4 linked regions of the Tribolium castaneum genome follow. The protein of the gene in region 1 purifies or fractionates together with the protein of each later gene. This does not show direct contact. Links are inferred from orthologs where the notes say so. Each region holds a gene or a part of one and is shown on either strand. Other genes may lie near its edges.

Region 1 (7,429 bases):
TCCACATTTGCTTCGATTGCGTAGCTTTTGGCGATTTTTTGCCGATTTTCGTCGAAGTCGAGCTGGTTTACATTGCGGTAAAGGTCCAAAAGGTCGCGCTGGCGTTCGAGGAAGAGCTTGTCGGCTGAAAATAACTTGATTTCTCTGGCAGATTGAAATGGCAACTTACAAACTTTGAATTTGCGCTGACCGACTCCGTATTCTTGCAAGGATGAAATGCTGCCGCAAAGGCACAGGAAGATGACTACAATCTTCATCGCGGATGAAGACTGATTCAGACTCGGCGTTTTATATCAATCAATGAACTTGCATTTAACCTTTGCATTATCATGTTTACTAACATTATTCTAAGTTTGGTGGGTTTATTGACTGTAGTTTTAGAAAAAAGAGTGAGTACAATAGAGGAAATGGCGTGATAGGGAGCTATTATTATACGGAATTATCTCCTAATAGTGTGTTTTCGTTTTTCTAAATTCGAGCAACGTTCTGTTATGTAAGTTTTTTTGACTAGAGAATTGATAGGAGAAGGTTAAAATTTTTTTTTAAATCTTCAATTTTTTTGCTCAAATTTCTGAGTAATAAAAACACTTACCTTCAAAGAGATGAAAAAAAAATTTTTTTTAAACGCACTCCAGCAAATTTTTACGGACTTCTGTATGTCTTAATAACCCACTAAAGTTGTTAAAAGTCCACAAAAAGTCCAAATGTTCGATTTTTTGATGTTTGATTTTTTCAATTTTCGTCGCAGTTTTTGTCGGTTTTGGGTACCCGGAACATTTCTCGAGCAATAGCTCCGGAACTATTAGAGATAACCCTATGAAGTGTATTATCGTTGGAAAGCTCTTTAAATTATCTATTTTTTTCAAAAAAGATTATTGTTCTCCGACTAATAGTTTTCGAGGAAATTGCTGATAAATACAAAAATTGGTAAAATTTTAAAAAATTCATAACTAAAAAACTATTGGGAATTTGGCAATTTTTTCGATGCCAATCGATTCCCCGGATCATTTTGCATGGGTATGGATCAAAACAGTTCCATTTTTTGAAATAGTTTAGCCGTAAATGAGAAAATAAAAAAAAAGTTAACACCCCCCCCCCTTAAAATCGGTCAATTTTTAAAGTGTCTCAAAATCAAATGAAACCTATTCTATCTTATAGATTTTGATGTGCTCTTTACAATGGAACAAACCGTTTTTTTCTAGCTCTTTTAGTTTGGCCGTAATCGGCGTTTGAAAATTGAAATTTTTTTTGTGAGATATCGCCTTGAGTCCTATGTCATTTTGTAGAGTTTTTTATTCCGGTTGTCCTCCATTTTTTCGTTTCTCGATAACTCTAATAGTTTCGCCACAATTGGCGGTTGAAAATTGAAAAAAAGTGAAAATGGAAACCTTTTTTTGCGTTTTTCTCGGAAACTGTAAGACTTAGAGCAACGAACAAAAAACCATCTGATAGCGCTTAATTTTATCTATTTTTTCAACCAAACCCGGAGCCGCTCCGGGCAATGGTTCCGGCTACAGAGGCGATCAAAGTTTTGCAATTAAAAAAATTCATAAAATAAAAACTAAAAGTCGTAGAGCATTGCGGTTTGTTCCATTGAATTCTACGGCTCATTTTCTCTATTATACCAACTTTTCATGAGATTTAAAATTTTCAATTTTTTTGCTCAAATTTCTGAGTAATAAATACACTTAGTACCTTCAAAGAGATGAAAAAAAAATTTTTTTTTAAACGCACTCCAGCAAATTTTTACGGACTTCTATATGTCTTAACAACCCACTAAAGTTGTTAAAAGTCCACAAAAGTCCATATGTTCAATTTTTTGATGTTTGATTTTTTCAATTTTCGTCGCAGTTTTTGTCGATTTTGGGTACCCGGAACATTTGTCGAGCAATAGCTCCGGAACTATCAGAGATAACCCCATGAAGTGTATTATCGTTGGAAAGCTCTTTGAATTATCTATTTTTTTCAAAAAAGATTATTGTTCTCCGACTAATAGTTTTCGAGCAAATTGCTGATAAATGCAAAAATTAGTAAAATTTTAAAAAATTCATAACTAAAAAACTATTGGGAATTTGGCAATTCTCTCGATGCCAATCGATTCCCCGGATCGTTTTGCATTGGTATGGATCAAAACAGTTCCACTTTTTGGAATAGTTTAGCCGTAAATGAGAAAAAAAAAAGTTAACCCCCCCTTAAAATCAGTCAATTTTTAAAGTGTCTCAAAATCAAATGAAACCTATTCTATCTTATAGATTTAATTGTTGAATACGTTGAGATTAACAAGTTTGGGGAACACCAGCGTCCGGAACACGCTGCTCTGGTGCGTGGCCTTAACTTTGGGCAAATGCGCGACTTTATCGCGGATGTCCGACCTGGCAAGGTCACCCCTCAGACTCAACAGTCGCAATAAATGATCTTCGGTGATATCGGGATACTTTTCAACAATCCGATGTAGCTCAAAGGATAGCATATCATCGTCGCTCTTCAATACTTCCGTTAACAAAATAACGCTCTCAAACGGGTCATCGCCTTCTAAACTGCACAGTGTGTCTAGTAACTTTCCCAACTGATTGGCCTCCTTGACGATCTTTCCGCTGGCTTGCACGCTCTCTTCATACGTCTTAAAAGTGCCTTTTTTGGACAATAGCGCGGTTAAGTAGCGTTTGGAGACCAAAGCGCGGGCCTGGTGCACAATAAACTTGTAGTTGGGTTCGCTGAGGCGATTGTAGTCTTGGAAGTAGTCGTCGAGAGTCGCACAAATCGTGTCGACGGGGTGCGAAGTCCCCAGCCAGCGCGGGGTGAACAATTCGTCAAAGTGTTTGTCCAAGTCCAGGAACAACTCCTCGAGTAAGAAATCGCCGGAGTCGTTGCGCAACTGGATGAAAGTCGTCCGCAAGCGGTTGAAATGATCGCCGAGAGTTGGCGGCGACGTGGGGGCCCAGTACTGCTTCTCCAACTGTGACCCCAAATCGGCCAGTTGGAGGCAGTTGTTGACGATCATGATCATGTACTGGGTGAAGTACGGGACTTGCTTGCGGTCCTCGAAGTATTTGTTTTTGAACTCGACGATTGCTCTCCGGTACATGTCCCCGAAATTGATGACTTGCTCTATGCTCAAGATGAGGACTTTGCACGTCATTTCGTCGCTTATCGTCTTGCAGACTTGTAAGTTCTGGTCGATCATTTGGAAGATGATAATGGGGGCTGCCGTGCGGGTGTAGTTCTCCGAGTTGGGTTCGATGTTCGAGCGCCACTCTTTCTCCTCTGAGTTTAGGGTGTTTCGCATCCATTCCCCGTAGTTTGTCTCAATGTTGCGCAAATACTCGGCCTCGAGGGTCTCCATCACGGGCTGGGGGAGCAAAGGCTCCAGGTGTTTGGTGTATTCGACCAAGTCCGGGTGGCCCAGTAGCTCAACCCCTTGGTAGGTTTTACTGACCCATGAGAGGATGGTCACGTATTCGTTGCCTTCGATTCCGTTCTGAATCACTTCTTGTAAGTGGCGGGACAGGCAGTGGTGGTACATCTGTATGTACTTGTCGATGATCCCGTACCTGGGCGGGAAACACGGGACACACAGTGTTTTAACAACTCGCAAGTCCTCCAAAATGAGCTGCCGCGTCAATTCCAAGTAACGAATGAGCCAGTGTTTGTTGTCATCGCGTTCGTCGACTTGCGTGCCTTCAATTCTAGTAGCGACTGACTTTTCCAACACTTCGAACGCCATTTGTTTCCATTTTTTGGGCCGCCCTGGGGGCAAGAACCCGGTCTGTTTTTCCTGTTTAAGTGCCTCTTGGTCGGTTTTCTCCTCCCGTTCAATTATCCGGAGAGCTGTGACAATCACAGTAGGTTCCTTCCGCACCGTGTTGAGCGTACGCGACAAAATCAGCCTCAACTGTTTCTCCAATAAATTGGACAAAGTCTCAACGTCGGCAAAGTACGCTTTAAGCATGGATTTATCATGCGGTGACTGGTTTGGCAACTTATGCAACTCGTACAGTAAATCATCGCGGGACATTTCCAAATCCCTCAGACACTGATGGGTGTGGAGCAATTTCCCTTCGTTAATCCACTGTTTGGTCTTCTCCACACTTTCGGGGACCGTGAAGATGTGCTTCAAGTTCTCGCGCGCGGTCACGTACTGCGAATGCCGCATGTTTTCGTCCCGGACTTGGCTCAGCTTGGCGCACAAGTCGGGGACTTCGTTGAAGAGAGTGAACATTTTTTTGATGCTTGAGTCGATCTCGCGGACGTCTTCGAGACAACAGTGCAGTTGGTTGAGTCCGACGCGGACTCCGTCGAGTTGTTGCTGCATCGCGGACTTGAGGAGCGCCTCCACGGAGTTTTTCTTGCGGGTGAGGCGGCGCTTCAAGTGGTCGACTTTTTCCAACTGGCCTGGACGTTGGAACATGTTCACCACGTGCGCCCGGGCCGAGTCTTTGGCCGCCGCCTCCAATTCGCGCATATTTGACTTTGTTGTGGTCATTTTTGGGGGTGTTTTGACCTAACCTAAACTGTCAGTTTGACGTTTGGGTGAGACAGTTGACTTTACACTCAATTGACAGCGTTCTCGTCAATGTCGGTTAGGATCGCACCAAAACTTACAGTCGACCAGACAACTGCTGCGCGCATGGAGCTAGTACCATTTCCCCTTCTACCATTTTCGTTTTCTACAGCCAAGTTCACACCAGGAAAATTATCGTTCGTTATGATCCTACAGAAATAAAGAAAATTGCGGAATATAAAGGGGGTGAAAAAAATAAAGATAATAACATAAGTTTAGTTGAGACATTTTTGTAACGAGACTATATTTTTGACGATATCTTTCGAACGGTTAGCCGTAGCGGTTTGTTCCATTGGATTCAGCTGCTCATTTTCTATATTATACCAACTTTTCATGAGATTTTTATGGACTTCTACATGTCTTAACAACCCACAAAAGTTGTTAAAAGTCCACAAAAAGTCCATATGTTCAATTTTTTGATGTTTGAGTTTTTCAATTTTCGTCGCAGTTTTTGTCGGTTTTGGGTACCCGGAACATTTCTCGAGCAATAGCTCCGGAACTATTAGAGATAACCCCATGAAGTGTATTATCGTTGGAAAGCTCTTTATATTATTTATTTTTTTCAAAAAAGATTATTGTTCTCCGACTAATAGTTTTCGAGGAAATTGCTGATAAATGCAAAAATTGGTAAAATTTTAAAAAATTCATAACTAAACCACTATTGGGAATTTGGCAATTTTCTCGATGCCAATCGATTCCCCGGATCATTTTGCATAGGTATGGATCAAAACAGTTCCACTTTTTACAATAGTTTAGCCGTAAATAAAAAAATTAAAAAAATTAAAAAAAAGTTAACACCCCCCCCTTAAAATCGGTCAATTTTTAAAGTGTCTCAAAATCAAATGAAACCTATTCTATCTTATAGATTTTGATGTGCTCTTTACGATGGAACAAACCGTTTTTCTCTAGCTCTTTTAGTTTGGCCGTAATCGGCGTTTGAAAATTGAAAATTTTTTTGCGAGATATCGCCTTGAGTCCGATGCCATTTTCTAGAGTTTTTTATTCCGGTTGTCCTCCATTTTTCCGTTTCTCGATAACTCTAATAGTTTCGTCACAATTGGCGGTTGAAAATTGAAAAAAAGTGAAAATGGAAACCTTTTTTTGCGTTTTTCTCAGAAACTGTAAGACTTAGAGCAACAAACAAAAAACCATCTGATAGCGCTTAATTTTGTCTATTTTTTCGACCAAACCCGGAGCCGCTCCGGGCAACGGTTCCGGCTACAGAAGCGATCAAAGTTTTTCACTAAAAAAATTCATAAAAAAAAAACTAAAAGTCGTAGAGCATTGCGGTTGGTTCCATTGAATTCTACGGCTCATTTTACATATTATATCAATTTTTCACAAGAATAAAAAATTTAAAATTTTTTGCCTAAATTTAGGGTATCCATTTGTCATATTGAAAAATTTTTTTCATTAAAAAAATTCATAAAAAAAAAAACTAAAAGTCGTAGAGCAGTGCGGTTTATTCCATTGAATTCTACGGCTCATTTTACATATTATATCAATTTTTCACAAGAATTAAAAATTTAAAATTTTTTGCCTAAATTTAGGGTAGCCATTTGTCATAGTGAAAAATTTTTTTCAATAAAAAAATTCATAACTCGAAAACTAAAAGTCGTAGAGCAGTGCGGTTTGGTCCATTGGATTCAGCGGCTCATTTTACATATTATATCAGTTTTTCACGCAATTTAAAATTTTCAATTTTTTTGCTCAAATTTCCTGAGTAATACAAGACTCACCTTCAAAGAGGTGAAACAAAATTTTTTTTTAACTAACTCCTGAAAATTTTTATGGACTTCTACATGTCTTAACAACCCACAAAAGCTGTTAAAAGTCCACAAAAAGTCCATATGTTCAATTTTTTGATGTTTGATTTTTTCAATTTTCGTCGCAGTTTTTGTCGGTTTTGGGTACCCGGAACATTTCTCGAGCAATAGCTCCGGAACTATTAGAGATAACCCCATGAAGTGTATTATCGTTGGAAAGCTCTTTAAATTATCTATTTTTTTCAAAAAAGATTATTGTTCTCCGACTAATAGTTTTCGAGGAAATTGCTGATAAATGCAAAAATTGGTAAAATTTTAAAAAATTTATAACTAAAAAACTATTGGGAATTTGGCAATTTTTTTGATGCCAATCGATTCCCCGGATCATTTTGCAGGGGTATGGATTAAAACAGTTCCATTTTTTGGAATAGTTTAGCCGTAAATGAGAAATTAAAAAAAATAAAAAAAAAGTTAACACCCCCCCTTAAAATCGGTCAATTTTTAAAGTGTCTCAAAATCAAATGAAACCTATTCTATCTTATAGATTTTGATGTGCTCTTTACGATGGAACAAACCGTTTTTCTCTAGCTCTTTTAGTTTGGCCGTAATCGGCGTTTGAAAATTGAAATTTTTTTTACGAGATATCGCCTTGAGTTCGATGTCATTTTCTAGAGTTTTTTATTCCAGTTGTCTTCCATTTTTCCGTTTCTCGATAACTCTAATAGTTTCGCCATAATTGGCGGTTGAAAATTGAAAAAAAGTGAAAATGGAAACCTTTTTTTGCGTTTTTCTCAGAAACTGTAAGACTTAAAGCAACAAACAAAAAACCATCTGATAGCGCTTAATTTTGTCTTTTTTTTCGACCAAACCCGGAGCCGCTCCGGGCAACGGTTTCGGCTACAGAAACGATCAAAGTTTTTCACTAAAAAAATTCATTAAAAAAAAACTAAAAGTCGTAGAGCATTGCGGTTTGTTCCATTGAATTCTACGGCTCATTTTACATATTATATCAATTTTTCACAAGAATAAAAAATTTAAAATTTTTTGCCTAAATTTAGGGTATCCATTTGTCATAGTGAAAAATTTTTTTCATTAAAAAAAT
Region 2 (7,369 bases), about 3.2 Mb from region 1:
TCACCTATTATAGTGTCAGCACTGGTGAATTAAACCCAGCAGGCCCTGTACCAATCGATTCCATTTTTATCTACCGACCAGACAAACGAATCGAAATATGGAGGTTTCTCCTGTACATGATGTTACACGCAGGGTGAGTAACATAAATTCCAGTCACGTGAACTTATTATCCAATCGAATTAATCGCTTCCATCCTGTTTTGTCAACTCGATTTACTAAATAAAGCGCTTCCTGTGTCTCTAATTGCAGTTGGCTGCACTTGGGCTTCAATTTGGTGGTGCAACTGTTGGTAGGCCTGCCCTTGGAGATGGTGCACGGGTCGGGTCGGGTGGCCTTGATCTACATGGCGGGCGTCGTCGCCGGCTCGTTGGGCACTTCCGTCTTCGACACCGACGTCTACCTCGTGGGGGCTTCCGGGGGCGTCTACGCCCTCTTGGCGGCCCACCTCGCCAACGTCCTCCTCAACTACAACAACATGCAGTGCGGGATCCTGCGCCTGTTCGGCATCCTTGCAATCGGTGGGTTGGAGTTGGAAATTAAAACAAACTCAAATTGTAACTTTGACACTCTCGCAACTAACTACACACACACACTGTTTTTATTTTACTGAACCTAACACTATTATTCCTACGTTCAGTTTTAAAAAAAATCATATCAATGCATTAGTAGAATTCTTAGATCTTCTGGATTACATGGTAAAGAGTTTGGTTCGCTGAATATTACATAACACATATATAACAGCCTATTTTTGGGTATCGTCATTTTTTCTTGATTGGCATCTTCATGTATAACATTTTGAATTTCAAAATCTTCTTGTCTTGTATCTTCTGGCACTTTTCCTTCGAAAATTACTTCCTTTAACTTTCCTCAAGGATTATTTCCATCAGGAAAATAGCCAGAAATTTCTTCATCTTCGTAAAATGAATCTTCTGAAGCTGAATTGATTTTCACTGATTTCTCCACAGTTTACTTTTTTCAACCATTAATCTGTAGGCCTTTGAATTTTCACAAAATCCAACAAGGATTTATTTTTCTTATTTTGAATCCCATTTAGTTCGTTTTTCGTTTGGTATATGGTTGAATGCTTTACATGCAAAAATTCTTAATTCACTTAAATCTGATTTTGTCTTGTCCAAACTTCTTCTGCAGTCGTATTATTTACTGTTAGAGTAGGACTTCTATTTTTCAAATAACAAGCTGTATAGCTTCTGTCTAAAAACCTTAACTTAATTTTTCAACCAAAGTTGCATTCTTTGGAGGTGTATAATCAAGTGTTGTTTGAAGACGAATTCCGATTTTTTTCAAAAATTCCTTCATTGAAGAACTTACACATGTGCTAGAAATTTTATTTTACGATCTGTTTCAACTTCAACCATTTTCTTGCAATTCTCGATTTTTTCAAAAACTTTAGATTTATTCTTTAAAAAATACACAGATGTTTTTTTTTGTAAGGTCGTCAGTAAAAGTTAAAAAATAACGCTTTCTGCCAATTGAATTTATTTTCACTGGACCGCAAATATCACTATTCTAACCCATCGTTCTAACTTTTCTTTAGCCCTGTGCACTGATTTCTTATGAAACTTATTCTTATGTTGCATTCCCCTTAATATCTTCAAATTTCATATCATGAACCATTTTTACGAGCCTCTTCAAAACTTGACTGCTTTAATTTCAAAATTACTTTTATTTTAAGTTTTTTTGAGTGAAGTATATTTTTTTTACATAAGCCAATTTATATAACTCTCCATCTCTTGTTGTTGCAACTGCTATTAGTCTTCCTGTCTTCTTTTCTCGAATCTCACATCTTTGATTTTCAACAATTGTCTTCAATTTTCCCTAGTTATTTTCATGAAATTAAATTAAATTTCAAACCCGGAGCATAATCAACTTGGCGTTTCAATCCTCTTACCTTTAACATACAATAAAACTGAAGTCACTCCAATGTCTTGGATTTTAAATTTTGATGTTTCTTTGAAATTCCTCCTTAAAGAATAGCAATTTTTAGATTTTATGATCTTTCTTCTTGCTATTAAAACATGTTTCTTTAAATCCTGTTTTGTGTGATGAAATACCATTTTTATCAATAAAATCCTTGAATTTTTGATAATGCCACTTCATTACTTAAGCTGATTCTCTTCCTTCATTTTTTACATTTAGCAGCTTATAGTAGTAATCTCCCTTTCACTAAATCTGTAGCTAATTCTGTATTGTAGTTCTCTAGTGTCATAATTAATGGCTTAAAAAGTTCTGGTAGATTAAGAGCAACTAAAACACTATCCTTTATTTCACTGTCTATTGCCTTCAAGTGTTGGGCAATTTTCATTTCCTGATTTAAATAATCATTCATTCCCTTACTATCAGCGTCACGAATCAAAACTAATTTTTCTGTTAAAGTTGCCACTCTTGGGAAACCTTGATATTCATAAATTTTCTTCAGTCTATCCTAAACTTCTTTTTCAGTTTTCTATTCTCTAACTTCCGTAAATATATGTGACTTGACAAGAAACACAATTGCTGCCAAAGCCTTCTTCTCCAGCTTTTCATCCTTCTTTGTTCCATCCACAAAATCCATCAGTTCACAATTAATTAAATGAATTTCTACTGGATAGGTACTTCCAATCCATGTAGTTGCACTTTCGAAGTTTTTCGAAAAATGCAGGAACTCCTCAGTATCACTTTATGCACAAGTTTTGTTTGATAAATAACCAGTTGTACGCCTAATGTGTTGTAAAACTTTATTGTGTACAAAGAAAACGTTGCTACAATAAATTACAGGAGATCCTGATCCAAATTGTAACTTCTTTATTTTAGACACTACTATCACAACACCAAAATTCAACTGACAATTGTTATTTCAGCCTCCTGCGACGTGGGGTACGCCATCTATTCGCGGTATGCCGCCGAAGCGATGGGGCCGCCGGTGTCGTACGTGGCGCACCTGACGGGGGCCCTGGCGGGGCTCACCATCGGCCTGCTTGTCTTGAAGAATTTCGAGCAGAAGTTGCACGAGCAGCTGCTGTGGTGGGTGGCGCTGGGGGTGTACGCCGCCTGCACGATTTTCGCAATTCTTTTCAACGTCATGAACCCCACGGTGGAGGCGGTGGAGAATTTGGGGGACGGGGTCAACAGTCAGTATGTGTATAATAGGTTCGGGGTATAGCCCCCTTTGTATAGGTTACGGGAACTCTCGGAGATTTATTTATCAAAAGCACTGAAACGATATTATTGCCCACATAGCCATTCCAGACCCGTTTTACAATACTAATCCAAAAATAAATCTCGGAGAGGCCGCTCTGTATATAATTTTTTTTGTACATATTTATATTTATTTAATATTCTAGACCAAAGACTGAAATGAGTAAATTCGAATGATTTATTAAGGTTTCGTTGTGAGGAAATTATTGTCAAACAGCATTTATCAAGTTCCTAAAACGATTCAAAGCAGGAGTGAGCGCAAACCGACAATTCCATTATTCACTTGACAATAATTTCTGCTTTATTTCACTTTCAGTTCATTTTTTTCTGAGTGATATTATCAAACTAGTCATAAAATTATTTAAGTATAAGCCTACCAAAGAAAGTGCTAGTTAATTCTATTTACACAATAATGTATTCGAAGCCTTATAGGTAGACGATTTTTCAATGTATATCACAAAGAAATTGTATTTTTTTACACTCAGGTAGACCACTGTTCACTGATATATGTATTTGTAACGAAAAAAAAAAAAAATAGAACTGATGGGTATTTCTTTTATAATACCTTTATTCCATTTTTGTTTTGTTATTATTATCACACTGTTTTACAAAACGCCCAACTTCCAAAAATAGTAATAAATTATTCAATTGTGCGACGACTTTTACTGAACCCTTCCGAAGTTTTTATATACAGGATGTCCACCATGGGGATCTCAGTTATTGTAAGAGATACAAGTTTGGTGAAATTAGGGCTAAGTTGCGCATTTTTATGCTGAACAATTATGTGCAAGAAAATGTTGTCATTTTTAGTTTTTGAGCTATTGGAAGAAAACGGAAATTTGTCATTTCCGTTTCTATTTTTTCAAGCAAAAACCAAAAGTACTAGACGTTTTTAAGTAGGACCTTCTTCGGGAACTTTTTTACAAGGTCATCGTATTTTCCAAAGCGTTCTTGATGTCAGAGTTAAAAGTTGAGTGTTGTAACTCTGACATCAAGAACGCCTTGGAAAAGACGATGACAGATTTAGGTTTCTTGTAAAAAGTGCCTAAAGGATTTCCTACTTAAAAACATCTAGTTCTTTTAGTTTTTTTTCTTAAAAAAATAAAAACGAAAATTAGTAATTTTTTATTTTTCCCAATAATTCAAAAACCAAAAATGGCACACCAAATTTTCTTTCAGATACTTGTTCAGCATAACAACGTGCAACTTTGCCCTAATTTAACCGATCTCGTAACTCTTATCACAACTGAGATCCCCATAGTGGAGCTCGAAAAACGGACACCCTGTAGACGGACAACACAAGTGGGGATTTCTCAGGGAGGCACGTAAACATAGTAGAAGCATAAAAAAGTGAAAATTAGTTATAATAGTGATTTAATTCATTGGTTTGTTAATAAAAGCTGTCTTCTTTTAGTTAAAATTCAATTTTTATGACGTAATCATGTAATTGTAGGAGCAAAGTGGCCGTGGTAATTGCTATACTAGACGGCCCCGAGCTAATTGTTTACAAATAAAATTAAACAAACTCATAAACACATCAAAATGGGGACTTTACCCACATAAAAAATCTGGATTTTAAAAAGTTCTAAAGCGACATTCGGACTTACCGCCGTCCATTAATCGTAAAAACATCGGTAATTTGAGCAATTTCTTCAATTTCTGGACACCAACAAACACTAAATTGGGGCTATTTACCCAAAAGGGGCTTAAGACGCACTTATGAAACAAGCGGCAAAAACTAAATAAGGTTAGGGTACGTTACCAAACACTAACCTATTAGGCCAGAAGATGGCGCAAGCTTACGAATTAAAAAATATCTGCAAAAAAATTAAACCTTACGGCATAAATTAAGAAAAACAATCCGAATGACCTTTAGGACCGTCACAAGGCATATCAAACTTATCCATAATTTAATTTTCAATTTTTATTGAGCTTTTAGGCGGAAACGGAAACGCCAAAACGTCAAATTGAAATTTTTGCATGTCATTTGAAACGGTCGCTCCTTTTGCCCATTTTTGCAAAAATTCGCCGAAATGGCAGCTGCAGCAATCCGAAAACCGGTGATTCCCAAAGATGACGTAAGAAAATCCCCTATTTATTTAATACTTTAAACGGGGCCCAAATTTTAGTCGGACGATGATAAGGAATTACAAGTGGAGCTAAAGGGTCTCGTGGACCGAATTACGGTGAGTTTTTCCATCATCAAAATAATAAAAAACCACGTAAATATATACAGGGTGACGAATCGAAGCTAGTGAATGTGTCCCTCGACATGTTAAAGTACTTAATACGGACCTCAACCTCGTCCATGACGTCCGTCCCAAAGCCCCTCAAATACCTGGCCCCTTTTTACGGGGCCCTGCGCAACAAATGCGACTCGATGAAGGACCCCCTCCTGAAAAAAAATCTCTCCGATGTCGTCTCCGTCCTGTCCATGGGGGCTATCGACGGGAGCGTGAAACGCGACTTCGACTGTCTCAAGTACTGTCTCCAAGGCACGATGGAGAACATCGGCGATTGGGGGCATGAATACATCCGCCAGCTGGAGATCGAAATCGTCAAACAGTGGGTCATGTGCGAGAACAACTACAAGACTCTGAGCCCCCTTGTCAAGCAGATCATGAGGTTTAACTGCAGCCACCACGACGAGATACAAGGCTGCGACCTTTTAATGGAAATCAACCAGATGTACATGCTCTTCGATTACGTCACGAGGGAAAACTACAAGCCCATTTGCTTGTACCTAGCCTCCTGTGCAAAATATGTGGACGATCTCGAGAGCAAAAAAATACTGAAGCTTATTTCGCAGTTCTATTATCTTTTTCAGGAGCATTGTCGCTGTTTGGTCGTCGCGATTCAAATCAAAGACTCGGCTTTGATCGAGAAACTCTTCAATACGTGCACTGACAAGTAATCTAGTCGGCGTTTCAAACAATTTTTCACTCATTTTTAGGATCACACTGTATCAAATGGCCTTCATATGCGCCCGACACCTCTACCCAATCGAATTTAATCTCGACGATGACGACGTGAGGAGCATTCTCGAGAATAGTCACTTGAGCCACTATTTTTTAAGTTTTGCACGTGAGGTTAGTGACAATTTTTATTCATTTGGCTTAAATTTGCCATTTTCCGTCTTGTGATGTTGTATTTTGGGGTCAAAATGCGAAATTTCCGGAAGAAATTCAAATTTCCCGCCTTGTGTTTCGGCGCCAAATTCAAATTTTTCTCGCTTTAGCTTGATATAATGGAGCCGAAATCGCCCGAAGAGGTGTACAAAACCTGGCTTGAGCCCGTAACGCTGCGTCAGAGCGTCCTCGGCGAGAAACTGGACAGTGCCCGTCAAAATCTGGCCTCGTCCTTCGTCAACGGTTTCGTCAATGCTGGTTTTGGCACTGATAAACTTTTGACAACCGACGATGGCAATAAATGGATTTATCGAAACAAAGATGTTGGCATGTTAAGTGCCACTGCAGCTCTGGGTTTACTATACTTATGGGACGTAGATGGCGGTTTGACCCCAATTGATAAATATCTCTACACCAGTGATGATAATATCAAAGCTGGCGCGTTACTAGCCCTTGGTATTGTCAATTGTCGCATTCGAAACGACTGCGACCCGGCCCTTGCCCTACTGGGCGATTACGTGGGGAGTGGCAGTGAGGAGTTGCAAGTTGGGGCGGTGCTAGGCATCGGATTGGCGTACGCCGGGAGTGGGCGGAGCGACGTATTGAATCTCCTCCTACCGGTGATACAGAGCTCGAAATTGGTCAAAACTTTGGGCGTGGCGAGTCTTGCATGCGGTTTGATCAGTCTCGGGAGAAATAATAACGAATTATCGGACATCATCTTGACGAAAATGATTGAATCGAACGGATTGGACGTTCTGAAAAGTCCCTTCATGTTATTGGCTGGTTTGGGCGTGGCACTTGCATATTTCGGAACCAAGGATGCGATTGAGGTTCCGACGATTGTGGCGGATGTGTTTGAGGAGCCGTTTCGGACCATCTTCCAGACCATGCTACAAATGTGCGCTTACGCCGGAAGTGGGGATGTGTTAATAATCCAGGAATTGTTGCGATTGGTCGAGGAAAAGGTCGAAGTTCCCGAAACGACCGAAACGAAAGGTTCGAAAGATAAGAAAAAGAACGAATGGGATTATCATATGGGGAAA
Region 3 (7,193 bases), on another chromosome or scaffold:
CTAGTTGTAAATAGATAGGTGTAGCTTTTGTGATTGTTTATTAATAAATTTTTTACCTACATGGGGGTCTTGTGTAACATTTTTTTGTGTACATAGAGGCGGGTTTAGTAGTGGTTTGGTAGCTTATAGGCCTTGAATAACGCCGTCGTGTCCACTTCCAGCTCAACGGAATTAACACTCAAGGAGAAAATATCGCCGATAATGGTGGTATCAAAGAGGCCTATTTGGCCTACAATAAATGGACACAACGGCACGGCATTGAGAAAACCCTCCCTGGACTCAAATACACCCCAAATCAGATGTTCTGGATATCAGCCGCAAACACATGGTGTGCGAAATACCGGCCAGAATCATTAAAATTGCGAGTTTTGACCGGATATCACTCGCCCGGCTACTTCCGGGTCATTGGTCCTTTCAGTAATTTAGACTATTTTGCCAAAGATTTTAGTTGTCCACTAGGCTCGAAAATGAACCCGAAAAAGAAATGTAAAGTTTGGTAATGTGATAGCTAATCAGCGAGCTCCACACGCCAGGTTGTGATTGGCAATGAGCTTTGTGCCACGTCGTGGAAACTAATTTAAGTTATTTAATTTCTAGTATAAGTGTATCTTTTTATGTTGTGACTTGCTACTGAATAAAACATTTTTAAAACTATTGAGTTTAAATTTACCACCTCCCGTCCCATGTTTCAAATCTGAAAACAACCAATCATGAGTAGCATCACCACTGGCAACTCCCGCCACAAATTCTCATTGGCCCAACTCGTGAAAGTTAATTGACAGTTCGAAAAAGTTTGGTTATATTATTGTGATTTCCTATTTTTGGCCAAGCCCTAATTTCGAAAAACCAAGGGCTTTAAACACCCACGATGGATCTATTGGGTTCCATTATGAACTCTATGGAGAAACCTCCAAGTTTGAGCGAAAAAGAACGCCAATTGGTTAAAAGTAAGTGATTTAACCTCAATAACCTTCATCACCCCAAATTTCAGAGAGAAAAGAGGAAATCGAAAAACGACAAACAGCGGAAAAGGAGCGTCTAAAACGGTTTAAAGAGCGAGTCGAGTCGAAATTAGCGTCGCACTTTAAAGACCCCAACAATACGATGCTGAAATTTGAGCCAATGGACCAAATTTATCGGAGCATTGTGTATTTGTGTGGTTATTTTTTCGTATTATGAGAATTTACACAGTTTTTTAGCCACGAAGCTGCCGAAAGTGCGGGGTTATTGTCGTACGCTTTTGGTAATGATGGGGTGGATAGGTATGTCAGGGTGTACAGGAAAGAAAATGCTCCTTGTGAGGACGAGTTGGCGGCAAGGAGGCGAGGGGACCCCTGGAATGAACAAATCAGGCAGCAGTTGATCGAAAAAGTACGTTTGAACCGTAATTAGGTTGTTCCTAATTTGGGTTTTAGAGAAAAATGGAGAAGATTGAAGAAGTTGCAGCTACTAAAAGAAAGCCGGAAAAGTTCACACCACACTCTAATTATAGGGACAAATACGCGCATTTGATTGGACAGGAAGCCGCCCTAGAGGCGGCCAAGAAAACCGAGACTAATAAGAGCTATGGCTTTGGTAAGTTAAAATATCAACCCAAAAAAATATAGTACTTAAATCGATTTAAATTCAACCAATAATTCACTAATTCATTTATCAGAAAGTTTATTCTAATCAAGTGATTAATTTTTGCTTGTTTAGTGCCTAGCGAAAATAAAAAGGACGTCAGGTCAATTGAGCAAACAATGGCCGACATCAGGGCCAAAAAGCGCCTTAAAACCAGCCATGAAACACCATCTGAATAGTTAATTGTATTTATTAGGCAATATTTATTGTAACATTTACCACATTATAAAAACTCTGATGAATACTTTGTTTTTGTGTTCCTACTCGTTGGTGAGACTCCTTTAGTCAGTGCTGAGTATTCCTTTTGAAGTTTTTGTAGTGAAGCGCATTCGAAACCGATCGCTTCTTTGTATTTTTTCTGGCTTAAGTCTTGAACAGTAGTCAGGAGAAATTCGGCATTTTTCGTAATGAATTTCCTTTGCTACAAACATTAATTCTGATAAAGATATTGCACCGGTTTTTTACGCTACCTCTAATTGATTTTCATTACGCAAGGAGGCTTCAATGTGTCGCACTTGCGCCTCAAAAACGTCATAAAGAACGTCGTTTATCGTATAAAGCAGTTCGGTTGTTTCAAGTCGTAAACAATCATTCAAAAGAATTAAAAACAGTTTGGTAAAAACAAGCGTATTGTTTGTAAGTTGGATCCACGTATCGCCAGTGACGTAACTGTCCACTTTGAGCCCCAAATCGGAATATTCCTGCAAAAATCGGGCCAAAGCTGTCTTTGTTCGAAGATTCATAGGAATCCATTTATCTTCAAGAGCCCGAAGTTTTGCGACTTCTATCGACTTGTCACGGGCGTCCTTCAAGGCCTGCATTAGGGAAGTGCGCAAAGCGCCATCTAGCTGGTAACACAAATCAACGCCAAAAGAACACAACTACAACCACCAATTTCATTTTTTTACAAAGAGAGAAATGGTAAATTACTCGTTCGCACTGTGAGCGGGCCAAAACCACACATTCTGTTAAAGTAGAGAGCGAAGTTTGCGGCATAAACACCTGTTTTATGAAATGAGTCGTGAATACGGACAGCTCGTTACTGGCCCACACCACGTATGCTTTGAAAAATTTTTTTATTAATTAATTCCGCTAAATATTATCAAAAACACCGTTTTAATATTTTTGTACAAACCTGACGAACAGCTGGACGAGCTGGGAAAAGCCCTGAGGAACTCCTCAGTCATGTGACACATATTCGTAAAAACGACACTCGACAAATGCCTCACGTACATGACCGTGGAGCATTCACGCTTCACTCGTTTACACTGCGTTTTGAGCATGTTGCTGCACAACTTCAGGAATAAATTACACGCGGCTGTGGAGCGCCCCAACTGGTTGAGGAGTCTCACGGCCCGGCGGGCGGCCCGCAAGCCCCCTTGTTGTGACTTGTCTGGATTAACTTCCAGTTCTTTCATCAGAACTTCGGTTAAGTGGTTACGCCTTTGCTCGACTTTTAATTGGATGTCGAGGATCACGTGGTCCGGTTGGCCACTAGTGGCAACAAATTGCGTGATGTAGTCTTTCGATTTTTGGAGGAAAGTTAGAGCGTCCTCAAAGTGTCTTTGGGCAACGCAAACGTCTAACTCTTCGGGGATTTCCAGAAACCAGTCCGGGTGTACTGTCCCGACCTCGTCCTCAATTTCCTCAAAAGCTATAGTGGGGTAAATAGGGGAAAAGTGACAGTGGTGCCGACTTACGGTTGAGGCTAGGGGAATCGATTGAGGCGGACCGAGACGGCGATTTTTCCACGATTGATTCGCGTTTTTGTTGGTCTTGGGTGAGACGGGCTTTTTTGGCCTGGTCGAACTTATCCAACCACTCTTTCTACGATTTTTTTTTGTAAACTTGTGCAAACTAAATTTTCGCAATACCTTATTTGAGCCAGAAGTGCATTGGAAAACACGAGTGTCGGGAAAAATCAATAGTTTGAATTGGTGTTTGTTGTTACCAATTTCCCGCACATTTACTACCGCGAGACTACCTAACTCGTACATTACCTCAAAAACATATTTCATTAAACCCCGGCTATTATTATTTCTGCAAGTAGTCATAAAGCCGTCTGTAAATAAATAAGCATGGACCGTTTTGATGATGTGATTATCGAGAGGGTCAACTTCTAAAAGATCCCCTTCGTGTAAATAAGTCCTTCCAGGGACTTCCAACAATTCCTAAACCAGTCATACCAATAGTAACAAAAATTCGCCAAAAAATGGCACTTTACCTTACAACCCTCAACTTTTTCTAAAATTGAGGCTAATTTCTGTCGGTTTTCGTCACCTTGGTCTTTGGGATTGTCCCTATTTTCCATTTCTGTGATAACTGGAGTTTCTTCGCCCAAAATCGAAGTTGTTGATAAGGCACCTAATAAGGATTTTTGTTCAGATAAAAGGTGTGACAATTGATACATTTCACTCTCCAAGTCTACAAAAAACAGTCAGACTTATAACTAAGTAAAAATTAAAAAAATACGAGATATTTCTTTAGCAGTGTCAATAAACTGGGTGTAATTGCGGTACACATTTTGCTTCAAATTGTTGTTGGTGTCCTCAGACAGTGACTGAATTCTTTTACGGAGGCGTCGCAATTCGGGGCCCCCCACACAACTTTGAGACAATTCCCTAACATCTAAAAGAACCTAATTATCACCAAGTGATTACGTCTTATTAATTATGTTACATTTTCCCGCATCAAACTCCTTCGAGCTAAATAAACTTAAAGTCGGTTCTTTTGTGGGCTCCATGGTGTAAAAAATAATTATTTATTTGATAATAAAGTTTTTTCTAACACAAAAAGGGAGGCGGTGCCATTTCCTATAACCTCAATGGTTTGACAAGTAATTTGTCAATAGATCTGGCGTTGTGAGCGAACATTAGAGTGAGCCACGCAAGTGGTCGACATGTACGTGTGGGTTATCGTTTGTAACTTGTTTGTGTGATTGTCATTTGCGGTTCTTTGCACATTATCGTTGGTTAGGGACGCTTGTTATCGGCAACTGCGTCGTAAAACTGTCAAATCAAAAGTGTCAAACCTAAAAACAGTGTTATAATTACAATCAAATTAATTAATAATGGCAGCGGAAATCAAGCCAGCAACCCAAGCAAACGACAAATTCTGCACAACGAAAAAGCCCGCCCTTTTGGCAAAACTGGAAGGTTGTAGCGACGAAATAAACGCCGCCGTTTTGATCCCGGGCGAAGATGGGGTTATAAGTGTGTCAGATGACAAGTAAGTCGCTCCCAAACCCGGTCTTTACGCCTCATTTTTGTGATTTAGAACGGTACGTGTTTGGTTGAAGCGAGACTCAGGCCAGTACTGGCCCAGCATTTGCCAGTACATGCCCAGTGGGGCCACTTCGGTCTTTTACACAGTTGAAACCCGGCAACTTTTCATAGGACAGGAAAACGGGACCGTGTCAGAATTCTCGCTGGCATCAGACTTCAACCGAATGATGCCAGTGCGGGAGTACCTAGCACATCAGGCAAGAGTCACCGAAATTATTTTTGCCATCAACTGCGAATGGGTTCTGAGCGTGAGCAGGGATAAAGTGTTTTCGTACAATTGCACACAAACCGGCCGCAACATTGGGACTTACACGGCTGAGGCCTGGTGCACCTCTCTACAGTACTAATTTTTTGCGGAAAATTTTCGAGTCATGTCTTTAATTTTTGCAGATTTGATGCACAAACCAAACATGCGTTTGTTGGGGATTATTCTGGTCAAATAACTATGTTAAAATTGGATAATGCGGGCCCTAGTGTTATCACAACTTTGAAGGGGCACTCGGGCTCTGTTAGGTCACTGGCTTGGGACAGCGAGCGGCAGATGTTATTTAGTGGCTCCTACGACCAAACTGTTATCGTTTGGGACATAGGGGGGCAACAGGGCAACGCCTACGAGCTGCAAGGTCACCACAACAAGGTAAACATTGTTTATTACAACCGCAGTTGGATTTTTTCCGAAGCAAAGATAATTGTTTATTGGTTACGTAGGTCAAGGTTTGTTTTTTGTTGGCGATCGGCATTTGAAATTAAATTGGCAACAGTGCCAAAAATTACCAAAATTGTGGAAACAAGTGAATGTGATATTACAGGTCTCTGCTTTGTGCTACCTTAACTCGACCAAACAATTGGTCAGCGCGGGCGAGGACGGGGTGCTGGTCTTCTGGGACATGAACCAAACGCGTCAGGAGACTCCCGAGTGGATCGAGTCCGATTTATGTCAGTTGTGTGGAAGACCGTTCTTTTGGAACTTCCGAGCCATGATGGACCAGCGACAGTTGGGTTTACGGCAACACCACTGCAGACATTGCGGGAAAGCAGTTTGCGAGAAATGTTCCACAGGTAGATTAACAATTCCAGCGATGGGTTTCGAGTTCGCAGTGCGTGTCTGTGACCCTTGTCACCACTTGTTAAGGGATAGAGAGTGAGTTGCAAGTGGTGAAGTTATGTCTTGCTAAAGTTTTTTACAGGAGGGTGTCTTTAGCCACATTCCATGATGCTAAGCATAGTATTACAGCGATGGGATTGGACGAGACTCGCAAAAAATTGGTAACAGTCGGACAGGACCGGCTAATCAAAATTTGGGACATTTCCGCTTTGCTTTGAATCCGACTGGTTTAGTTACTAACGCTGGAATGTGATTCACACTCAATTAATTAATGTGCTATGATTTATTACATTATGTAAAATTTAAATATTATTAATGTTATATTTATATTCTATAAGTTCTATTGAAAATAAATCTATTATAATCACAGAATTGCGCCTCATTTGTGCTATTTTTGAACCCAAGTGTGCGAACAAGTGACATGATTCCATGAACGGATGGTAATCTGTGGTGACGTCAAATTTACAGGAACCTGCTTTCGGTCCGATTGTTGTCAGTTTTTTTCGAACAAACAATTGTTCGTTGTGATTTTTTCTCCCCCACACGATTAAATCAATTAAGTGCACTCTTCTTCATGATCCTTTAATACTTTGGTTCTTTAATGTTGTTGTTATGCGGCATGTGTTGGTGTTTTCGTCGTGCGTGCCACTCGAGTTGGCACCACTGGTAAACAAAACAAGCGCATATGCCAATTTTTGGCCCCCTTTTTGCCTTGAAAAATGTCCAAAAACGCTGAAAATGACTTATACGGAACGAATTTATCCGTCGAATCTATGAAGGTAATAGCCGAAAGCATCGGAATTGGAAATTTGCCCGACGACGCTGCAAAGGAACTAGCTGAAGACATCTCATTTAAACTGAAACACATCATTCAAGACGCTGCGAAGTTCGTCCACCATGCCAAACGAACAAAACTGATGCAGAGCGACATTGACGCAGCCCTCAAAGCCAAAAACTTGGAGGTATGTGGGCTTTTTGGTTATTTAACCTCATTGTGTCTTACAGCCCCAGTACGGTTTCCAATCGGCCGAAGGCCTCCCGTTCCGTTTTGCATCAGGCGGCGGACGTGAGCTTCATTTTATTGAGGAGAAGGAGGTGGTTTTGAACGATTTGTTGCAAAATTTGAACGCCAAAGCACCACTTGAGGTGTCTTTGAGGTCCCATTGGTTGTGCATCGATGG
Region 4 (7,232 bases), on another chromosome or scaffold:
TGACGAGTCACTAACACGTTTTTTTGTGTGGTTAGAAAATTTATTCATTGTGTGCAGGAAAACCTTCATAAAATGGATACAACGGACGTCGGGGCCATGAATAACCATGTCAGCGAGGAGAAAATGGAAGATATTCCAGCCGAGGAGATGACTTCTCGAGACTATTACTTCGACTCGTACGCTCACTTCGGCATCCACGAAGAGATGCTAAAAGACGAAGTACGGACTTTAACTTACCGCAATTCGATGCACCATAACAAACACTTATTCGCGGGTAAAACTGTGATAGATATTGGATGTGGGACGGGGATTTTAAGCATGTTCGCCGCCAAGGCGGGGGCCAAGCGCGTCTTTGCGATTGAATGCTCCAACATCGTCGACTACGCGCGCAAAATCGTCGAAACGAACAAGCTCGACCACATCATCACCATAATTAAGGGCAAAGTCGAGGAGGTGGAGCTGCCCGAGGGCATTGACAAAGTCGATATCATCATCTCGGAGTGGATGGGCTATTGCCTCTTTTACGAAAGTATGTTGGACACAGTATTATACGCCCGAGACAAGTGGCTCAAACCCGACGGCCTATTGTTCCCCGACCGCTGCTCGCTGTTCATTACCGCCATCGAGGACAGGCAATACAAGGACGAGAAGATCAACTGGTGGGACGACGTCTACGGCTTCGACATGAGCTCAATCCGCAAGGTCGCCATCAGCGAGCCGCTGGTGGACGTCGTGGACCCCAAGCAGGTCGTCACGAACTCGTGCCTAGTGAAAGAAGTCGACTTGTACACCGTCAAGAAGGAGGATTTGGAGTTCTGTGCGCCGTTCAGTTTGGTGGTCCGGAGGAACGACTACGTCCAAGCCCTTGTCACTTTCTTCACTGTAGAATTTACGAAATGCCACAAACGTATCGGGTTCACCACCGCCCCAGACGCACCTTACACGCACTGGAAGCAGACGGTGTTCTACTTCGAGGACTACATGACGGTCAAGAAGGGAGAGGAAATCAACGGAACATTCACCATGAAGCCTAACCCGAGGAACAACAGGGATCTGGACTTTGTTATCGAACTTAACTTCAAAGGAGAATTAGGCGAAGTCCACGAAAATAACAGATACCGCATGCGCTAATTTATTTTCTTTTTTACTACAAGTGCTTACTTTAACTTCCCGAAATCTCATGACTTCAAACAGGCCCCGATTTTGACGCTAGTCTTAGGTTTACTTTTTTATGTCGCCACGATTTTTCTTAACAAATTTGCTTTTCCCTTTATTTGGTTGCTGGCAGCAGCGTCATAATTAAGAATCTCCTAAACATTATCATAAGTTTCAATTGTGAGTGTCCAATTTTTGAAGTCTTAATGGAAATGTACATATTTCATTGAGTCTTGGTAGTTAAAAATGTGGAACGACTTGTAGGATTAAACACAGAATAATGTCTGTAAAAACGACCCTCAGTGATTAGTTTGAATACCCCTATTATGAATTAAGTAATTGCAATTTCAACTGTAAACGGTAATAATAAAAACAAATCATTTAATTTCACGGATTTTCATTCATACTTCCCTAAAAGCAAAGTCATGCCTTTGCGTTACGGAGAACTAATTACGGCTTAGATCTCAAATGAAAGTCGTTACATAACTAGTTTTATCTTTTGGTGGTTCAGTAGAGCCGTTCAAGTTGCTATGCTGTCTCTGACTTAGAAAAAATATAGAAAATTCTCTACATTTTTTTGCAGCTTTCGCAGAGTAGGGAATATTTTGAAACACTTACCTTGATGTTTTATACTTATTTGTTTAAAATTTTAGTGACATAAATCTTTTTTTTTTAATTGAAAAATTTGCGAAATGGAAGTTTGAAACGAAATTCGTTCAAAGAAAATAATAATTAAAAATGCTAAAGAATTCTAAGCGTGCGCTTAAAACGTAGGTCCAAACATGATACAGAAAATAGTAAATATATGCCTTTATTATTTAATCATTTAACAAATAATTCCTTATTACACTTTGAGAAAATTTTGTTTTTGTGTCTTGAAATCGCTCCGAAGCTGGATAAAGTTGTGCAAAACCGAGCGGTCGAGATTCACCAGAGAATCCTCTGAACACACTTGTTGCAAATTTTCTGGCTTCACTAATAATAAATTGCACAGCGCATGCAAAGTTTCGAACAACTCGGCCACAAGCGGACCTAAATGTTTAGTACATGATCGGTACTCATTTAAATCACAAATTGCGACCATTGCACCTTAAAAATCGTAATTAGCCAACACAAAACCATTTTTAATTGATTTACCCGCGGTGTTGAACTGAAACTGCAATAAATGATCGTAAATAACGCGATGTAATCGAATTCCCAGCTCTTGCAAAATGGCAGTAACGTTGTTACCGTCCAAATTGTCTTTGATCTCCTTAATTACATTACTTATGTATTGGGAAACTGCTTTGCACGCCTACAAATCGGAATTATTTTATGCAGAACGTGGAAGTGATTTACCGGAGAAGCGACCGTATCGAAGTCGTCAGTTTCTGGTTTAAAATCGGTTTTTTTCTGCTCTGATTGCAGGTAGACTTTTACCCAACTTCCCACAGCATTCAAAGTTCTAGAAAAATAATTAAAAAAGTAAATCATTACTTTTGGGTGTCACCTGTCCAGTCCGGTGTTAACTTTCCGTTCAATATCCTCCAAAATAAACTTTTTCTTTTGCATGCAATCGCTGTATTTTGGCGTATTTCTAAAAACAAATCTGAGATACGTTATACAATTTTGTAAGAAATTACATAATGAGAGGCACCGCTAAATCAGTGATTTGTTTCTCAAGCAAGTGCGTTATATTGTTGCTCTGGTGCACCACTGTGAAGAAATACAAAGTTGGAGGATTCTTGGACCCTTCTACCACAGGAATCGCCTGAAGCCCCAACTCCAGCGCATAATCTACGTGTTCAATTAGCAAAGAATTGAGCAAACGGTCTAAAATTTGACTGGCATTGGACGCCTTGTCTTCAGGCTTTGAAAGCTAAAAAATAAAACAGATTGTTTTTCATTCAGTTACACAAATTATGTACCAGCTGACAACGCTGGAACGCTTGTTTCGTGTCTTGCAAAATTGTAATTGCTAATTCCTCAGACAGGAATGTTTCGCCACCATAATTTTCAATCTGGGCTATGTTAATGTTGGCCCTTGTCCCAATTACGGCCTGGATGTCGCGTCTCAAGTCTTGGAACCTGTACAAATTTAGACAAAGGGAAAAACACGAAATAATAAAAATACCCGCCAGATTGGATCTGTTTCTTTTGGTGGTTTTTTGATTCGTAGTAACGTTGCAAATTGGCAGAACTGCGTTCTTTGAGACACTTTAGTTCTAATCTGCATTATGATTAATTAAAACAATTGGAACAAACCAGTACGGAAACTCACGCTATGTAATTATCGATGTATTTATTGAAAATGTTACTTGTTAGCTTATTTAAATAGTTTTTGTCGCTCCCCATGTTAAAAACGGATAAATCTTGCGATAACTGATTGGTTCTAAAATAAAAAGTGAGTCTGGTGGATCATTCAGAGTGTAATTACCTGTCATATAACTCGTACAAAGTTTTTAAATAATTGTAACTATCTAATTTCGAGGATAGTTTTGACGCGATGTACTCTTGCAGTTTCAAATGATACAAATTTAGGACAAATTTTGCCAATACTTGTTCCGGGTTATTAAATACTTTCTTAATAACATCGTAGTTTAGTTCACATAAGGGAAACAAACGCGAAAATACATCTTTACTCAACAAGCAACCCTAAAAAAATTGTTTCCACAAGAGGAATGATAATATGATAATATTTACAGCTTGACTCCGTTCAATGTAAGCATCAACGCACTGGGGGTAGCCTTTAAATTGTGATAAAACATTAGCGATTTCTTTCATTCTTTTGAAATCGTCCCTCCTTTGCGCATTTGAGAATTCTTCAATTAAAGTCCGCTCTGTCTCATCGTACTTTCTTTCAATTTTGCGCTTTAAGCCCTCAAATCTAAAACATGATATTGTTTGTTGTTACAATTATTGATCTAAATTTTTACTTTGGTGAGGGCAGGTCTTGTGAAATTAAATACAACTTTTGTATCACTTCTGCCGCTTCATCAATCTGCAAGAAATGTTGAACAAATGTTGATTTAAAAATTAAAAATACTTTTGACGAGTCGGTGAAGATTTCTGAAGTGAGAGGGCCAGTTTGTAAGAATTCATTCAAATGTGTCATTAGATTTTTTGCATCAACAACTCTTGCCCTAGGTCCGTTAACACTATCTAACTGGTCACCCAAGTGTAGGACTTTTGTCGCCACATGGTTAATTTTTCCGTCTAGCTCTTGAAACGTATCAATGGCTTGCTAAAATTGAGGATTGTATTTTGCAAACACAATTTAAAACCTACTTTATTTTGCCCCAATAAATCGTGGATTTTTTGAAAAAACAATGCTTCGTCTTCGCGTACGGCGGCTTCGAGCCTTTCACATTTCTTTTTTTGCCTTTCTTGGAGCAAAGTTAAGTCTCTACAAAAACGAACCCAGTTATGGGACTTACACAAGCCTAATTCTTACTTAATAGCTTGAACAAACGAGTCATGCAGCAATGTTGGATTAAAGTCCTCATCACCGTCATTTTTTGTTTCAGCTATTGTGCGCCAAGCTAATCTTTCAACAAATTCTTCAGCATCAAACGGTTCCTAAAGATTAGGGGGCGTTTATGCAAAGACTTACAAGTGGAGTTAAATACCTGCTCCAGTTCTTTCATATATTGTTGCATCATTTTGACGCGAAATTTTTTCCTTTAAACTGGAGGAGATATAAACATGAATTTATTTATTTTTGGCTTGACTTGACACCTGTCAGTTTGACGTCCAACCAATCTTAGGTTACAACAAAGTAGACCTTTGTTATTGGTGTTAAAACTACAATTTATGACAATTTCTGGTATATTTTGGGTGCGCGTTATCACACACGATTTTTTTTCTGGGTGGTTTCGACTTATTAATTAAAAATAATTAAAAAATAACTTTTAATCAGCTGACGTCCAGTGTCACCAAGCCCTCGAAACGTCAAACGCACAATAAAATCCCCAAGTCATTAGTTCATAATCACCAAAAAAATATCGTTTTTGTTTACATTTAAGGCCATTAAATCGGGAAAAAATGGGTATAGCTGACTGTTTTGAAAATATAAATATTCCGCCGTGTATTTGGTTCGAAGGGGGTGATAGGCGAAATGCGTACGCTTCAATGATCTCGGGGTTTTTGGTGAGCTTTTTTGTGCTCTACAACTGGACATGATTCATCCAAATTTTAGTTTTTCGTAGGCTGGTGGATAATAATCGATGCCGCAAGTGTATACCCAGGGACTGTCCTAGCAGGATACCACATGTGTGGGGTCGTGGGGGCCGTGTCTTTGATAATGATCAATTCCGTTTCAAACGCCCAAATGAGGGGCGACGCTTATGAGGGGGGCTGTTTGGGCCCCCGAGGCGCCAAAGTGTGGCTTTTTGTCGGTTTTGTAATGGGTTTTGCATCTGTGATTGCCTCTTGTGGAATATTATTTGCTGATTTCGTCAACAAGAGTAAGAGTTTTTGTAAAAAATTGCAAACTTTAATTGAGTTTTTTTACAGAGGTGCCTCACTATTGGCCGGGAGTCGCTATATTTTTGCAGAACGTGTTTATTTTTATCGCGTCACTCATATTCAAGTTTGGTAGATCTGAAGACATTTGGACATAGAAAGTAATTCACACTCATACTTTTATGTTGCAAATTTTACCCTTCATGAGCATAACAATTAATTTTTTATTAAGTGTAAAGTGTAAAAACTAGGTTGTAATATTGTGTAATTTATTATTTGCTAAATAAATAAAACATAAATTAAAAATCACAATTTATTTAATCGTCATCGTGATCGCTTCTGTTAGGACCTGGACAACTTGTACTTAAGTCATTTTCGTCAGTTGCGACAAATGCACAAAACATGCAATATAAATGCGTGTTTCTTAGATAATGAATTAGTTCGCTTAAATTTTCATCAGTAAAGTAGGAATCAAATTCTTCATTAAACTGTTCCTCTTCTTCCTCATCGTCTTGAACACCTCTCTTCTTCTTAATTGTTTCCCTCGTCCAATAAAACTCCTGAATTGGCTCATCAGTGTTCTAAAACAAGTAAATAACACACTTGACTCGTTAGCAACGTGTTCACCTTTCTTAAATCCAAATCTTCACAAGCTCTCTGCGCTTTAACAAAATCCTTACAGAGCAACTTCTGGGCTTGTTTATTTTTAATACTTGTATGAAACGCGTCCATTTTCTTTGCAAGAGTCTCCTCTTTGTGAACCTTCTTCCTGGTAACTTTTTCCTTAAAATGGCTTTCTAACCCAACCCCTGACTTGCCACTCCTTAGTTCTATTTTAATGGGCTCTGTTATGCCAGACTGCGATTTTCCCAAACCTTGTCCTTGCTTGAAACCCATTTTCTCCAACAATTTAAAGCCCTTGTTGTCATTTGAAATAGCAGTGTTCAAGCCCTCTTGTCTTCGCTCCTCTTCTCTTTCTTTACTGTTTTTGGGCTTCTTGGCCGAAAGCTCCTGCCTTTTTTTCTCTAGTTCATACTTTCGTTTCGTTGTGCGGTTGAAAACTAGTCCAGGACGGACGTCTTCATCACTAAATTTGAAAGAAAATTAAGCAAACATTACTTAATGCTTGCAAGGTTACCATTTCATTAAAAGCTTATCAGACATGTAATCATCTTCCGAATCCGACATTTTTCTATTTTTCTTTGTTATTACGTTTTTTTCATGATTATTGTGTTTATTTTCCTAAATTATAACCTTCTGCTCTTCTAGGTTAAAGTTACTGCCAACATTTATGTAGAAAAGTGAAAAACTCTCATATGTCTCAGATTGGCGAGCCTGTGATTTCAAAAACTTGTGGGAAAACATTTCATTTCAATAATTTTTGATATCTTATTTAAAATAAATCAAAAAATTAATACAAGTACACTATTTCGTTATCACATGAATTGGGTAATATTTTGGAATTATTAACGATGACCCCAATTAATCCCAGAAACTCATAAAGATTACCATTAAACAAAACTTTACGATTAAGTAACTATCCTGCCAATTATTTTCGTTTTGATTTACTTTATACAAAATTAGTTCTTTTTAAAGTGTTTTTTATAAAAAACCACATCTAGAATATAATTAAT

What was found.
Region 2: the proteins of Sec6 (region 1) and Exo70 purify together in Homo sapiens (affinity purification with mass spectrometry; 5 studies listed by BioGRID and IntAct, counting the BioPlex papers as one, with this or other methods). This does not show direct contact. The link is inferred for Tribolium castaneum from reciprocal best matches to the Homo sapiens genes EXOC3 and EXOC7.
Region 3: the proteins of Sec6 (region 1) and Exo84 purify together in Homo sapiens (affinity purification with mass spectrometry; 5 studies listed by BioGRID and IntAct, counting the BioPlex papers as one, with this or other methods). This does not show direct contact. The link is inferred for Tribolium castaneum from reciprocal best matches to the Homo sapiens genes EXOC3 and EXOC8.
Region 4: the proteins of Sec6 (region 1) and Sec10 purify together in Homo sapiens (affinity purification with mass spectrometry; 7 studies listed by BioGRID and IntAct, counting the BioPlex papers as one, with this or other methods). This does not show direct contact. The link is inferred for Tribolium castaneum from reciprocal best matches to the Homo sapiens genes EXOC3 and EXOC5.

The regions. Positions count from the first base shown.
Region 1 is NC_087399.1:3,908,489-3,915,917, forward strand, and holds Sec6 (exocyst complex component 3), read right to left. Parts: upstream 4,559-7,429; 5' UTR 4,484-4,558; coding exon 2,255-4,483; 3' UTR 2,218-2,254; downstream 1-2,217. Other genes in the region: HEX5 (hexamerin 5 precursor), read right to left, coding at 1-124, 170-257. UniProt on the Homo sapiens protein: Component of the exocyst complex involved in the docking of exocytic vesicles with fusion sites on the plasma membrane.
Region 2 is NC_087399.1:7,105,241-7,112,609, reverse strand, and holds the start of Exo70 (exocyst complex component 7), read right to left. Parts: upstream 4,962-7,369; 5' UTR 4,803-4,961; intron 3,849-4,802; exon of another isoform or gene 3,161-3,848; coding exon of another isoform or gene 2,859-3,160; intron 519-2,858; coding exon of another isoform or gene 250-518; intron 134-249; coding exon of another isoform or gene 1-133. Other genes in the region: stet (uncharacterized protein LOC657740), read left to right, coding at 1-133, 250-518, 2,859-3,160; 26S proteasome non-ATPase regulatory subunit 2, read left to right, coding at 5,229-5,273, 5,325-5,381, 5,432-6,105, 6,149-6,284, 6,434-7,369. UniProt on the Homo sapiens protein: Component of the exocyst complex involved in the docking of exocytic vesicles with fusion sites on the plasma membrane.
Region 3 is NC_087398.1:809,592-816,784, forward strand, and holds Exo84 (exocyst complex component 8), read right to left. Parts: upstream 4,464-7,193; 5' UTR 4,367-4,463; coding exon 4,303-4,366; intron 4,252-4,302; coding exon 4,096-4,251; intron 4,048-4,095; coding exon 3,848-4,047; intron 3,795-3,847; coding exon 3,498-3,794; intron 3,451-3,497; coding exon 3,324-3,450; intron 3,278-3,323; coding exon 2,759-3,277; intron 2,685-2,758; coding exon 2,554-2,684; intron 2,505-2,553; coding exon 2,094-2,504; intron 2,045-2,093; coding exon 1,847-2,044; 3' UTR 1,803-1,846; downstream 1-1,802. Other genes in the region: sperm-associated antigen 7, read left to right, coding at 869-947, 992-1,148, 1,200-1,371, 1,416-1,575, 1,699-1,802; Wdfy2 (WD repeat and FYVE domain-containing protein 2), read left to right, coding at 4,694-4,851, 4,900-5,247, 5,298-5,544, 5,717-6,048, 6,095-6,230; Taf6 (transcription initiation factor TFIID subunit 6), read left to right, coding at 6,732-6,974, 7,018-7,193. UniProt on the Homo sapiens protein: Component of the exocyst complex involved in the docking of exocytic vesicles with fusion sites on the plasma membrane.
Region 4 is NC_087396.1:19,820,796-19,828,027, reverse strand, and holds Sec10 (exocyst complex component 5), read right to left. Parts: upstream 4,996-7,232; 5' UTR 4,797-4,995; coding exon 4,764-4,796; intron 4,714-4,763; coding exon 4,589-4,713; intron 4,541-4,588; coding exon 4,423-4,540; intron 4,379-4,422; coding exon 4,181-4,378; intron 4,136-4,180; coding exon 4,071-4,135; intron 4,022-4,070; coding exon 3,838-4,021; intron 3,790-3,837; coding exon 3,572-3,789; intron 3,527-3,571; coding exon 3,416-3,526; intron 3,365-3,415; coding exon 3,269-3,364; intron 3,223-3,268; coding exon 3,063-3,222; intron 3,014-3,062; coding exon 2,778-3,013; intron 2,732-2,777; coding exon 2,645-2,731; intron 2,600-2,644; coding exon 2,494-2,599; intron 2,450-2,493; coding exon 2,293-2,449; intron 2,245-2,292; coding exon 2,000-2,244; 3' UTR 1,951-1,999; downstream 1-1,950. Other genes in the region: Art1 (protein arginine N-methyltransferase 1), read left to right, coding at 58-1,131; transmembrane protein 50A, read left to right, coding at 5,179-5,283, 5,333-5,600, 5,650-5,756; G patch domain-containing protein 11, read right to left, coding at 5,916-6,179, 6,226-6,685, 6,737-6,786. UniProt on the Homo sapiens protein: Component of the exocyst complex involved in the docking of exocytic vesicles with fusion sites on the plasma membrane.